Schizosaccharomyces pombe: one gene and its partner. Each later gene encodes a partner of the first gene's protein in a complex. Each region holds a gene or a part of one and is shown on either strand. Other genes may lie near its edges. The genes, in order: nda2 and cut7. A codon is read from its position in the direction of its gene.

Region 1 (4,318 bases):
ACCTTTGTTTATGGAATCATGCATATTATAAAGATTACGGTCTTTTAAATCGCTCAAGATACATCGACACATGGTTTGATTGCATAGATTGGTCTGTCATTGAGGAAAGATTGACTAATTCTTTGGTATGAAAGAAAGGTGCAATCAATTTAGATAATTATATCTCATCACAATCTTGTTATGATTTTAAAAAAACGCCTTTTTCTACTTTCACCTTATAAATTTCATTCTAATTTTAATAAAAATTGTGTTTTCTCTACTCGTCCTTGAAACTTCTACAGTAGACTGTTTTGGCTCATGCTCGTATTCTAAATGATTTTAGGCTAATTCCGAGCAATCGAGTCATATAAGTTAAGTAATTTATTAACCAATTAACCGATTTATTGCTTAGAGGTTGAGATTAAAAACATTTTTTTTGTAAAGCTAGAAAAGCGCCAATACACAATGTAATTTACAGTTTATAGTGTCTCTTTTTCATGCAAAATTAAAAAAAAAAGATACCACAGAAAGGAGAAATTGAAATTTTACTGGTGGTTTATTTGCAAAGATAGAGTGGATTAGATTGATATCTAAATGAGAATTGACTAGTAAAGAAAAAGAATGTTCAAGTTAAAAAATCAGTGAGATAAGTGGACGAGCAATTTATCTCCTTGCCGCTGGGTGAACATTTTAACTCTCAAAGAAAGACAGACACCCTTTAGTTATTTGACCACAGGGCTGAATAAACAAAGATTAAAGAGACAAGGGTAGATGCAAGATATCTTCAAGTTATAAAACGAATGAAATAACGTATAAAAGCGATTATTGGATAAATTAATACTCTTCGTCAGCTTCGTACATTTCGTTATCCATAGAATCTTGACCAACCTCTTCGTAATCCCTTTCTAAGGCAGCCAAATCTTCTCTGGCTTCTGAAAATTCACCTTCTTCCATACCTTCACCGACATACCAATGAACAAAAGCACGCTTGCTGTACATAAGGTCAAACTTGTGGTCCAGACGAGACCAAGCTTCAGCAATCGAGGTGGTATTTGAAAGCATACAAACAGCACGATTTACCTTAGCGATTCCACTACCAGGAACGTGTTGGGGTGGCTCATAGCAAATACCGATTTTGAAACCAGTAGGGCACCAATCAACAAATTGGATGGTGCGACGAGATTTAATGCTAGTAACGGCAGCCTGGACATCACGTGGGATAACATCACCACGATACAAAAGACAAGTAGCCATATAGCGGCCAGTTCGTGGATCACATTTTACCATTTGATTATAAGGCTCAAAGCACTGATTCGTAATCTCTTGTACGCTGTTGGATTCATGGAATGCTTTAGCTGCACTGACAATAGGAGAATAAGTGACTAAAGGAAAGTGAATACGAGGGTATGGCACAAGATTAGTTTGAAACTCATTTAAGTCAACATTTAAGCTACCAGCAAATCGAAGAGAAGCGGTGATAGAAGAGACAACTTGAGCAATAAGGCGGTTGAGGTTTTCATAGGTTGGACGCTCAATGTCAAGATTTCGGCGACAGATATCGTAACAAGCCTCATTATCAACCATAAAGGTACAGTCAGAGTTATCGAGAGTAGCATGGGTAGTGAGCACAGAGTTGTAAGGTTCAACAACGGATGTGCTCACTTGAGGGGCGGGATAAACAGAAAATTGGAGGTTAGATTTCTTTCCGTATTCCATGTTCAAGCGCTCCAGAAGTAAAGCACCCAAACCCGAGCCGGTACCACCACCAAAAGAATGAAATACAAGGAAACCTTGGAGACCAGAACAATTGTCAGCCATACGACGTATCCTTTCTAATACACTATCAATCATTTCCTTTCCTACAGTATAATGTCCACGGGCGTAATTGTTAGAAGCATCTTCCTTACCAGTTACCATCTGTTCAGGATGAAACAGATCTTTATACGGTCCAGTACGAACTTGATCAATAACGTTAGGCTCAAGATCAACATAGATACTTCTAGGTACGAATTTTCCTTGCCCGGTTTCAGAAAAAAATGTACCGAATCCATCATTTAAATAGCTATTGTTTTTGTGAACTTCGGAGTTTTCTGTAGGAAAACCGTCGGGTCCTATGCCATGCTCCAAACAGTACAACTCCCAGCATGCTAGAAATGTTAGCTAAATTTTTTATGAAAAAATCGATTGCCAACTATTTAGAGTATACAGCAATACAAAAAGATGGATATTGAACATACCGTTACCGATTTGAACACCTGCTTGTCCAACATGAACAGAAATTACTTCTCTCATAATTTGTGATAATAACGAATGTAAATGCAACTAAACGCGCTACACAAGACGTTTTGGTTGCAAACTTAGGTTGTTTGTCAAGGGAGAGCGTAGGTACTCCAAGTCATGAGTAGGAAATAACGAAAAACGAATGAACTCGTAAAGCACTAAGGAGGGAAGTTTATGCAATGAGGTTCCAAAACTCATACCATGCAAATAACATAATGTTTTATAAAGAAGTAATATAAGTAGTATTCATTAATATTCTTGCAATGATCAATTTTCGAATTTTTCTGTACTGTACGGATTGAAGTGACGATAAATGTAAACAAAGAACTATGATTTGAAAGACATTTTTTCACGAAGCAAATGAACATAATTATTAGTATTTAAGCATAAATAATGAGAATTATGCTCCTTTGCCAAAGAATACGAGAATTTGTTTCAAATATGTAACAATTGTTTATAAAAACATACTAGCAACACTTTACGGTTTTTGATAAGAAAGGTTATAATCATTGCATTGCGTTTTACTGTTTTCTATATAATGATGTTTTATACTTGAGTGATTTGCAATAAATGCATTAAGCGTATACTTAAAGGTTAGAAACCTCAGAAAGTAGGTTTGAAAGCAAAGCTTTGTGGGTTTGTAATCACTGTCAAATTACTATGCGTTTAGCCCGACAAAAGATTTTGGATTCCCAGTTTTATGAAACCTAATTAAAAGCAGCTTGCTTAATTATTTTCTTAATAGTATGTATTTTACGTATGGTGAATCTAGTATAGAACATTTGATCATATGGTTCTTTTAAGGGATTAACAAATTGTAGAGGTTCACCTTACCTTACGCCAAATCCTATTTTCTACTGACAAGAACGAATTCAATGTACTTTTAGCCTTGTTTTAAAATTACAGTAAAAAATGGGCCGATCGTGTAAAGTTATTCGTGAAGATTTAGCAAATTGTTTGTTACATTCTGATTGTATGTTTGTTAAAAAAAAAAGTGCACGAGAATGTCTCAAAAACAAGGACGAACTTCCAGAAGAATGCAAAAATCTGATAGAGGCGTATGGCGAATGCAAACGTCAAATGGTACGTTAATGCTTGGCTCTTATTATTTTACTAAATGGTTATAATTCAGCTGGATATGACTAAACGATATCGAATTGCGCCAGAAAAAAACACCGACCAAGATACTGAGAAGCCATCAAATGTTGACGAACAATAAATCTATGGTTTCATAGACAATTAAATCATACAAACAGATATTACTAAATTATGCCATTAAGAAAAGCTACCTATTCTATGAACCATCAGAGGTCGTAGTGTGTTAAATTCTAGCGATATTATTTCGACTATCTACTTAATTAAATGCATTCAAGGTTTCGATTTTAAAGATGAAGTTTTAATTTCCGAATTCCCTGCAAACAAATTAAAAGTGTTTTCTACTAGGTATAATCAAAGATATACAGTATAATTCACCCTCTAGGATTATCTCTAGCTATCGGTTTCTAAAAAAAAAATTGAGATATAACTACACAAACTTTCCTTAAAAATCCTGTTTCTCAAGTTAACTCAAAGGCACATTCGAACAGTGAGAAAGACGTTAAAGCAATAAATTTCTAAATAATAAATAAAACAAAATAAAATAATTTACACCTTTTCGGCTGGCTTTTCATCGCTATCACCTTTCTTTTTTGCTGGCACAGATTGAGCATTACTTATCAAGGGACGGCTTTTAATGAAAAATATAGAAGCAAAACCAATTGCCATCACAACAGTACAAAATATCCAAATAACCCTGAAGGCAGACGCATAGGTATTCTTTACACGAATCTGTAATTCCTGGGGTAACCGTTCAACCTGTTTATAAGATAACTGAGCATAAGTTGTATTCCCGTCAAAGGATTGAGTAACCCGTTCATTAAATATTACTTCACCAACTGTAATACCAATAGAACCACCCATGGTACGTATAAACATAAGTGTAGCAGTAGCCATGGAAGTCATTGCAGGTGGAAAAGTTGCCTGCATTGCAATGAGCGGAGGCAGAAAAAGAAAACCAGAT
Region 2 (6,180 bases), on another chromosome or scaffold:
CTGTGCTTCTTTAAAAGCTTCACTTACTTTTGGGAACAGCAAAAAGTAACCGATCTTCCAAGTGGTTAACCAAATCCATTCTAATTATTAGTAACGGATTACTTGTACGCTATGGCGTTACAGTCAATTCACGCACGCATCGGTATGTACCGTTTACTAACTACCACCACCAATGTCGAAAAAGCAGTCACAATGTTCCCCATAATTTTAGGCGGTGCATTATACATTCTTCCTAAACACCACGCACTCTTATACATATCAAGAGGATAATGGATTCTTCTAAGGTTCCTGTTAAATTGGCAAAGGTCATTAAAGTGCTCGGTCGCACCGGTTCTCGGTAAGTTTGGGAAACTTGTCAGTTTATTGTTAAATTCAACATATTGTATTCACATAAATTGATTTGTGTTAAACGAATAAACATAAAAGATTCTAATTATTCCTCGCTTTTGTATATCCAGCAAGCAATGATTACTAACTTCTCTGTAGTGGTGGAGTCACCCAAGTCCGTGTCGAATTTATGGATGACACTTCTCGTTCTATCATTCGTAACGTTAAGGGACCTGTTCGTGAAGATGACATCTTGGTTCTTCTTGAATCAGAGCGTGAGGCCAGAAGATTGCGTTAAAGCTGCTTTGGCCCATTGTTGTTAAGAGCATCTTTGCAAAAAATATAATCTCGTTACACCTTTTACGATTCAATTTGCTTTTTGACGCCATATCTGTAGCTTCAAAGATTTTATCAGTCTTGTATATTGCTTTCGAATATTGTAAAAGTAAGAACATAGCTAATGTATCACCCCTTTTCCAGAGTCCTTGTATATCGATTAACCTCGTCTGTATATCATTAAACTTCTATCTAAATTAATCTTTATATGTATACAACTCCTAAAACTATTATTTAAAACGCAGTATGTACACACATAACCAAACTTTCCGTTTTAACCAGCCAAAGCCCCAAGATGTAATACATTTCTATTGTATTTTCGTCCATTAAGTATAAATTAATAAAATCGTGTCATTATCGTTTCATTTTGGAATAGGCACTTCTGCTACTCCGCAAAAGACTAGTTCTTGATGAATTAGATGGTTTATCATATACGTCCGGCTCATTAGTTTGATTAGACGATGTGTAGGTTTCCCTAACGAATTTCTTATCCGAATCTAAATTTAAATTCGTAGTTTCCTTAATTAAAGACGAATCTCGTGTCCAAGATGGAGTGGCAGGAAGTTCTCGTTTGGAAGGTGTATCGCCAGTTGTTTCCAGCTTCACCAAAGACGTGTCTTCTATAGTAGTTTCAAGGTTACATAGAGATTCATCTCCTAAACCAAGTAATTCATTAGTATGATTAGCAAGTGATGTCGTTCCCTTTAAAACATGATCTGTAATTTTCTGTAATTCAGTGTGCGGTGTCTTGATGGAATCGATAAGATTGTCATTGTTGCCAACAAGGGATTCCAATAAATCAAGTAATTGTTGATGCTTCTCCTTGGTATTATCTTCTGAATGCTCTTTTACTTTCTGCAACAAACGATCCAGCGTTTGAACTTCAAGATTAACACCTTGTTTTTGAGACTCCGCTAAAGCCAAGCAATGGTCATACATTGATCTGGAATTGCTATGAATGGCCTTGCTTTTACTGTCAAGCAGTTGAGATCCATTTTCAACTGTCTTTTGAATCCTTTCTTTATTGGCACCCACGATTTCTGCTTGTGAAGCCGCATTCCGTAAAAACTCTTCTGAACGGTTATTCATAATTTCGTTTGCTTTCCTTATATTCGAGTTTGTATCATTGAGATGTGAATGTAAGATATCCGCTTTGGTATACAAAGATTCGTTCTGTTCCTGTAAAAAATTTGAAACAATTTTACCAATATTAGCAATCAAATCTTGTTGCTTGGATTCAAATTTGGATTTTTGATCAGATATGTAATCACTTAATATTATATCTGCATCGTTCAAAGATGTTGTGCAAGTTTTAACCAGAGCATCAATATCGTTACGCACACCATACATTAGCTCCTTCTGTGATTCTTCATGAGTATGCTGTAAATTATATAGTGATCTTAATTCCTGAACAAGTTGTCGGTATGATTCTTTCATGTCTTTCTGCAATTCTATCAATTCCGAAGAAATTCCATTTCCCAACTTCTGGGAAGACATGCTAATATCCTGCAGACTGTGCTCCAACGCATCAAGAAGGCTGTTTTTGGAATCCTTTAATTCAGAAACAATTAGGTCTAAGCTAGAATTAGGTACTGCACAAGAAGAACGAGCACTTTGCAACGCCTCATCTAAACTCTGAAAATGCTCAGTAATTTTGGTCATAGAAATCAGCAGTTGATTACTGTGGGTGTTCAATAATTCTTCCATTGAAGCATTAAAATCATTCAACAAAGTAAAATAGCCATTTGTTTCATCAGTAAAACTTCCATGAAAAGATCTCAACATCGTTAACAAATTGAACTTAAGATTCCAAAAATTGTTTTCATTTTCTTTATTATTTCGTTCAGTGCGATCAAGCTTCTCATATAAGCTAGCAATGTATTCTTTTGATTCTCGGTAATATTGGGAAAGGTCTGTTGCAACAGTTGTAATTTTAGCTTCATTGGTTTCGTATTTTTTTCGTTTTTCGATTTCTAAAACTAGTTCATTTTTCAGCTTTTCGTTCTCAGACTTTACACTTTCTAACTCTGTAGATGAATTAACCAGTTGCAGTTGCAGAGCTTCAACTTCCTTTTTATGTTCTTGATTAGATTTAGAAACATACTGCAGTTGTTCCCTCGAACTTTTAACGTTTAAGTCCAGCACTTCAAGTTTGCGAGCCTGTTCCTGGCATAACAAATCTTTGTTTTGAACACGATCCATAAGCTCCTTATACGTGCTTTCAGCAAGATAAACTCCGTTCTTTTTACGGGTGGCATTAAGGTCATTTTTCAATCGTTCGATATCTAACACTAAGTCTTTTATAAGGACTTTTCGAAAGACAAGCTGATTATTTTGAGGCTTATTGCGTATACTTTTAGCACGAGCAGCATACTCCAAAGTAGAAATTGTTTCTTCCAAATTAGTATTAGTAGAAGATACGGTAACGATCATAGAGGTTTTAGTCTTTCCCCCCAAAGAATCCTGCAATAGGCGTGTAAGCTTGGACTCACGGTATGGAATATGGTGGGCCTTTTCCACTAATGCATTAATTACTCGGCCTAATGTTAATAGTGATTGATTGATCATTCCAGTTTCTCGAGCACGTTTGTTTTCAGCTCCAGAACGTCCAATGTTCTCGCTTCCAGCCAAATCAACCATATGAAGTTTGCTGGCGCGCAGCAAGTCATCAGAGTTATTATTTATGGTAAGTGAATTAGTTTCATCTGTCATTCCCGAAGATACCTTTCTATGCAGAGTTATCGTGAAGATTGAATGACTACGAGATGAAAGATCGTTACACTTTGTAGCAGCAACTTGACGCCGGTGAGAGCCTTCACGTAACAATCGCAACCCATCGCCAGCATTTTTTATATAACTTTCTTCAATACCAGTAATAACAACGTTCCCTCTCCGCGAAGTATCTTCAAAAACACGAGCTGGCTTTCGCAATTCTTCGGAAACCAAAAGATCGCGAATTTCCTCGTTGTAAAGTTCATAATAGGAGCATTTGACAGCATATTCTTGATTACTGTTGTCCAAGGAGGAAAATAATTGATAAAGGGCACGAGGAATAAGGCCTGCTCCTTCAGACAAAATTCCATCGGAATCGCTAAGATCACCAGACATAGTATATGTTTTACCGGTTCCAGTTTGTCCGTACGCAAATATAGTACAATTATAGCCGTTCAATACTTGCTCCAGCATGGGCGCTACCGAATTTTCGAATAGCATTAACTGGTCAGCTTCAGGACCAAAGACTTTATCAAAGGCATACGTCTTCGTGACCAACATGGATGAAGGATCCGACTGGATGGCCAATTCAGCACCCATAGCGCCCGAAGTCGATACAGCAAGGCTACTATTGTCGCGTACTTCTTGGTCTGTACGACCACGAACACGGACGACTACGTTAATATTGGTTTCGTTCTCATCATGAAGTGCATGATCTGTCGGAGAATTAGTGTCGGAGCGATCTGGGTACCCAGTGTCAATAGTAGGAGGCTCACGTCGTTTCCTAGGATTGCTCGCAGAGCGGAAATGTGAATTTGGAGTAGAAACCGGGTTTTTAGCTTTCAACCCCTGCTTTCCTAGAAATTGTTGTGAGCCACCAGGTGCAACTCTAGGGGCCATTCGGTTTTATGAGTAAGGATTGTTACAAAGAAAGCGACAAGGTTGTTAATTTAAATTGCAATTCTGTTGTAAAGTTCAATAAACCACAATATAAAAAAAAGGGGTAAATTTAAAATAGGAAAAGATCGTAAACGTCTGTTTTTAGGGGTAAAAAGAATGAATAAATTGGACAATTGTCGCTCCTGAGTATGTTGTTGAATTGTTGTAAACAAGAACGAGGACTCAGACACGGTAACACTTGGAATGTCTCATTCCAATGTTTTGCAGTACAAATCAACAGTATAAAAAGAGAAAAAAGAACTTTTATGAAAAATCCAACAATTGTGCTAATACTAAAAATCAATACAAAATGAACGAACTTGGCAGATAAACTGTTGTCAGTAATGATAATAGTCAAAATCGGTAGAATGAGTTAAAATCTAAAAAAGAAGAAATATAAAACAGAATCAACTTTATTAGTTTATTTTAAATGATACCATGTTTTTTAAATTCTACTTTTCATTACTTTCAATTTTTTTTAAATTTCTCTAAAGTTACTCTTCGATGTCCCCCCAGTCACTGGGTGAAGAAACTTGACTAGAGACAACGGCACTACACCAGAAATGTCGGAAATCCTAATTGAGGAAATTAAGGATCAAATCGTCGTAAAGGACGAGGAAATCGATGTTTCTGAACTGGAAGTTAAGCTTAATGTAACTAAACCTGTTGGATATGACACGGTTGTAGTAATCGAAGGTGCTCCAGTTGTCGAAGAAGCTAAGCAGCAAGATTTCTTCCGTTTTTTGAGCTCAAAAGTCCTTGCTAAAATTGGAAAGGTTAAGGAAAATGGATTTTATATGCCATTTGAGGAAAAAAATGGAAAAAAGATGTCTCTTGGACTAGTTTTCGCCGATTTTGAAAATGTTGATGGCGCCGATCTTTGCGTTCAAGAGTTGGATGGAAAGCAAATTTTAAAAAACCATACTTTCGTTGTTCGTAAGTTGAATCAACTCGAAAAAGCTTTTAGCACTCCTGATGAATTTAGTTTCGAAGAACGTGAATTTAAGGAGCGCGAACATTTGCGTAGCTGGTTAACTGATTACTATGGTCGTGATCAATTTATCAGCTATTACGGTAACCGTGTATCTGTTAACTGGAACCGTAAGAGCGACGTCCCTGAACAGATTGTGGATCGTGAAAACTGGACCGAGACCTACGTGCAATGGTCTCCCATGGGCACTTACCTCGTATCACTTCATCTTCGTGGTATTCAATTATGGGGTGGGGAATCTTGGGGAATGTGTGCTCGTTTCTTGCACCCCTACGTAAAATTTGTCGACTTCAGCCCTAACGAGAAGTATCTTGTTTCATGGTCCTATGAGCCTGTTCGACTTCCTCCCATCGGACATCCGGCTCGTGAAACAATGCCTTTCACTGATGATGATGAAGGAAAACATTGCTTCGTTTGGGATATTGCCTCTGGTCGTATTCTTCGTTCTTTTAAGATTCCTCCTCAACCAGAAGGTTCAAAGGATGGCAAAAAAGTTATTTGGCCTATTTTCAAGTGGTCTGCCGATGATAAATACCTTGCTCGCGTTACTGTTGGTCAGTCGATTTCTGTTTATGAGACACCCTCCCTTGCTTTGGTTGACAAGAAAACTATCAAGATCGACGGTGTGCAAAATTTTGAATGGTGCCCAGTTTCAGATGCTCTCGGACGTGATTCCAAGGAGCAGCTTTTAGCTTACTGGACCCCTGAAATTACCAATCAACCTGCTCGCGTTGCCTTAATTAGTATTCCTTCAAAATCAACTATCCGTACGAAAAATCTTTTCAATGTTTCCGACTGTAAGTTGTACTGGCAGTCTAATGGTGATTATTTATGTGTTAAGGTTGATCGTCACACAAAAACTAAGAAATCAACAT

Evidence for each region.
Region 2: the proteins of nda2 (region 1) and cut7 are in contact, whole or in part, in a cryo-EM structure (PDB 6S8M), measured with the Schizosaccharomyces pombe proteins. Residues at the interface, in NP_596774.1 of Schizosaccharomyces pombe: His111 (codon at 1,851), Tyr112 (codon at 1,848), Lys116 (codon at 1,836), Ser404 (codon at 972), Lys405 (codon at 969), Arg406 (codon at 966), Val409 (codon at 957), His410 (codon at 954), Val413 (codon at 945), Gly414 (codon at 942), Gly416 (codon at 936), Met417 (codon at 933), Glu418 (codon at 930), Glu419 (codon at 927), Gly420 (codon at 924), Glu421 (codon at 921), Ser423 (codon at 915), Glu424 (codon at 912); in NP_594527.1 of Schizosaccharomyces pombe: Ser331 (codon at 3,285), Glu332 (codon at 3,282), Asn333 (codon at 3,279), Ile334 (codon at 3,276), Gly335 (codon at 3,273), Arg336 (codon at 3,270), Ser337 (codon at 3,267), Gly338 (codon at 3,264), Ala339 (codon at 3,261), Thr347 (codon at 3,237), Gly348 (codon at 3,234), Met349 (codon at 3,231), Asn351 (codon at 3,225), Gln352 (codon at 3,222), Leu355 (codon at 3,213), Arg359 (codon at 3,201), Asn362 (codon at 3,192), Glu366 (codon at 3,180), Leu405 (codon at 3,063), Glu406 (codon at 3,060), Glu407 (codon at 3,057), Ser410 (codon at 3,048), Tyr414 (codon at 3,036), Arg417 (codon at 3,027).

Annotation. Positions count from the first base shown.
Region 1 is NC_003423.3:4,266,944-4,271,261, reverse strand, and holds nda2 (tubulin alpha 1), read right to left. Parts: upstream 2,351-4,318; 5' UTR 2,272-2,350; coding exon 2,217-2,271; exon of another isoform or gene 2,127-2,216; coding exon 814-2,126; 3' UTR 501-813; downstream 1-500. Other genes in the region: SPOM_SPBC16A3.14 (mitochondrial ribosomal protein subunit S26), read left to right, coding at 1-131; cytochrome c oxidase assembly protein Coa5, read left to right, coding at 3,172-3,342, 3,392-3,478; SPOM_SPBC16A3.17C (transporter), read right to left, coding at 3,904-4,318. UniProt on the Schizosaccharomyces pombe protein: Tubulin is the major constituent of microtubules, a cylinder consisting of laterally associated linear protofilaments composed of alpha- and beta-tubulin heterodimers.
Region 2 is NC_003424.3:4,305,702-4,311,881, forward strand, and holds cut7 (kinesin-5 family plus-end directed microtubule motor, bimC subfamily Cut7), read right to left. Parts: upstream 4,637-6,180; 5' UTR 4,276-4,636; coding exon 1,018-4,275; 3' UTR 810-1,017; downstream 1-809. Other genes in the region: his1 (ATP phosphoribosyltransferase), read right to left, coding at 28-79; rps2801 (40S ribosomal protein eS28), read left to right, coding at 270-337, 487-625; tif302 (translation initiation factor eIF3b (p84)), read left to right, coding at 4,878-6,180. UniProt on the Schizosaccharomyces pombe protein: Could be a spindle pole body motor. On transition from G2 to M phase of the cell cycle, the spindle pole body duplicates; the daughter pole bodies seed microtubules which interdigitate to form a short spindle that elongates to span the nucleus at metaphase.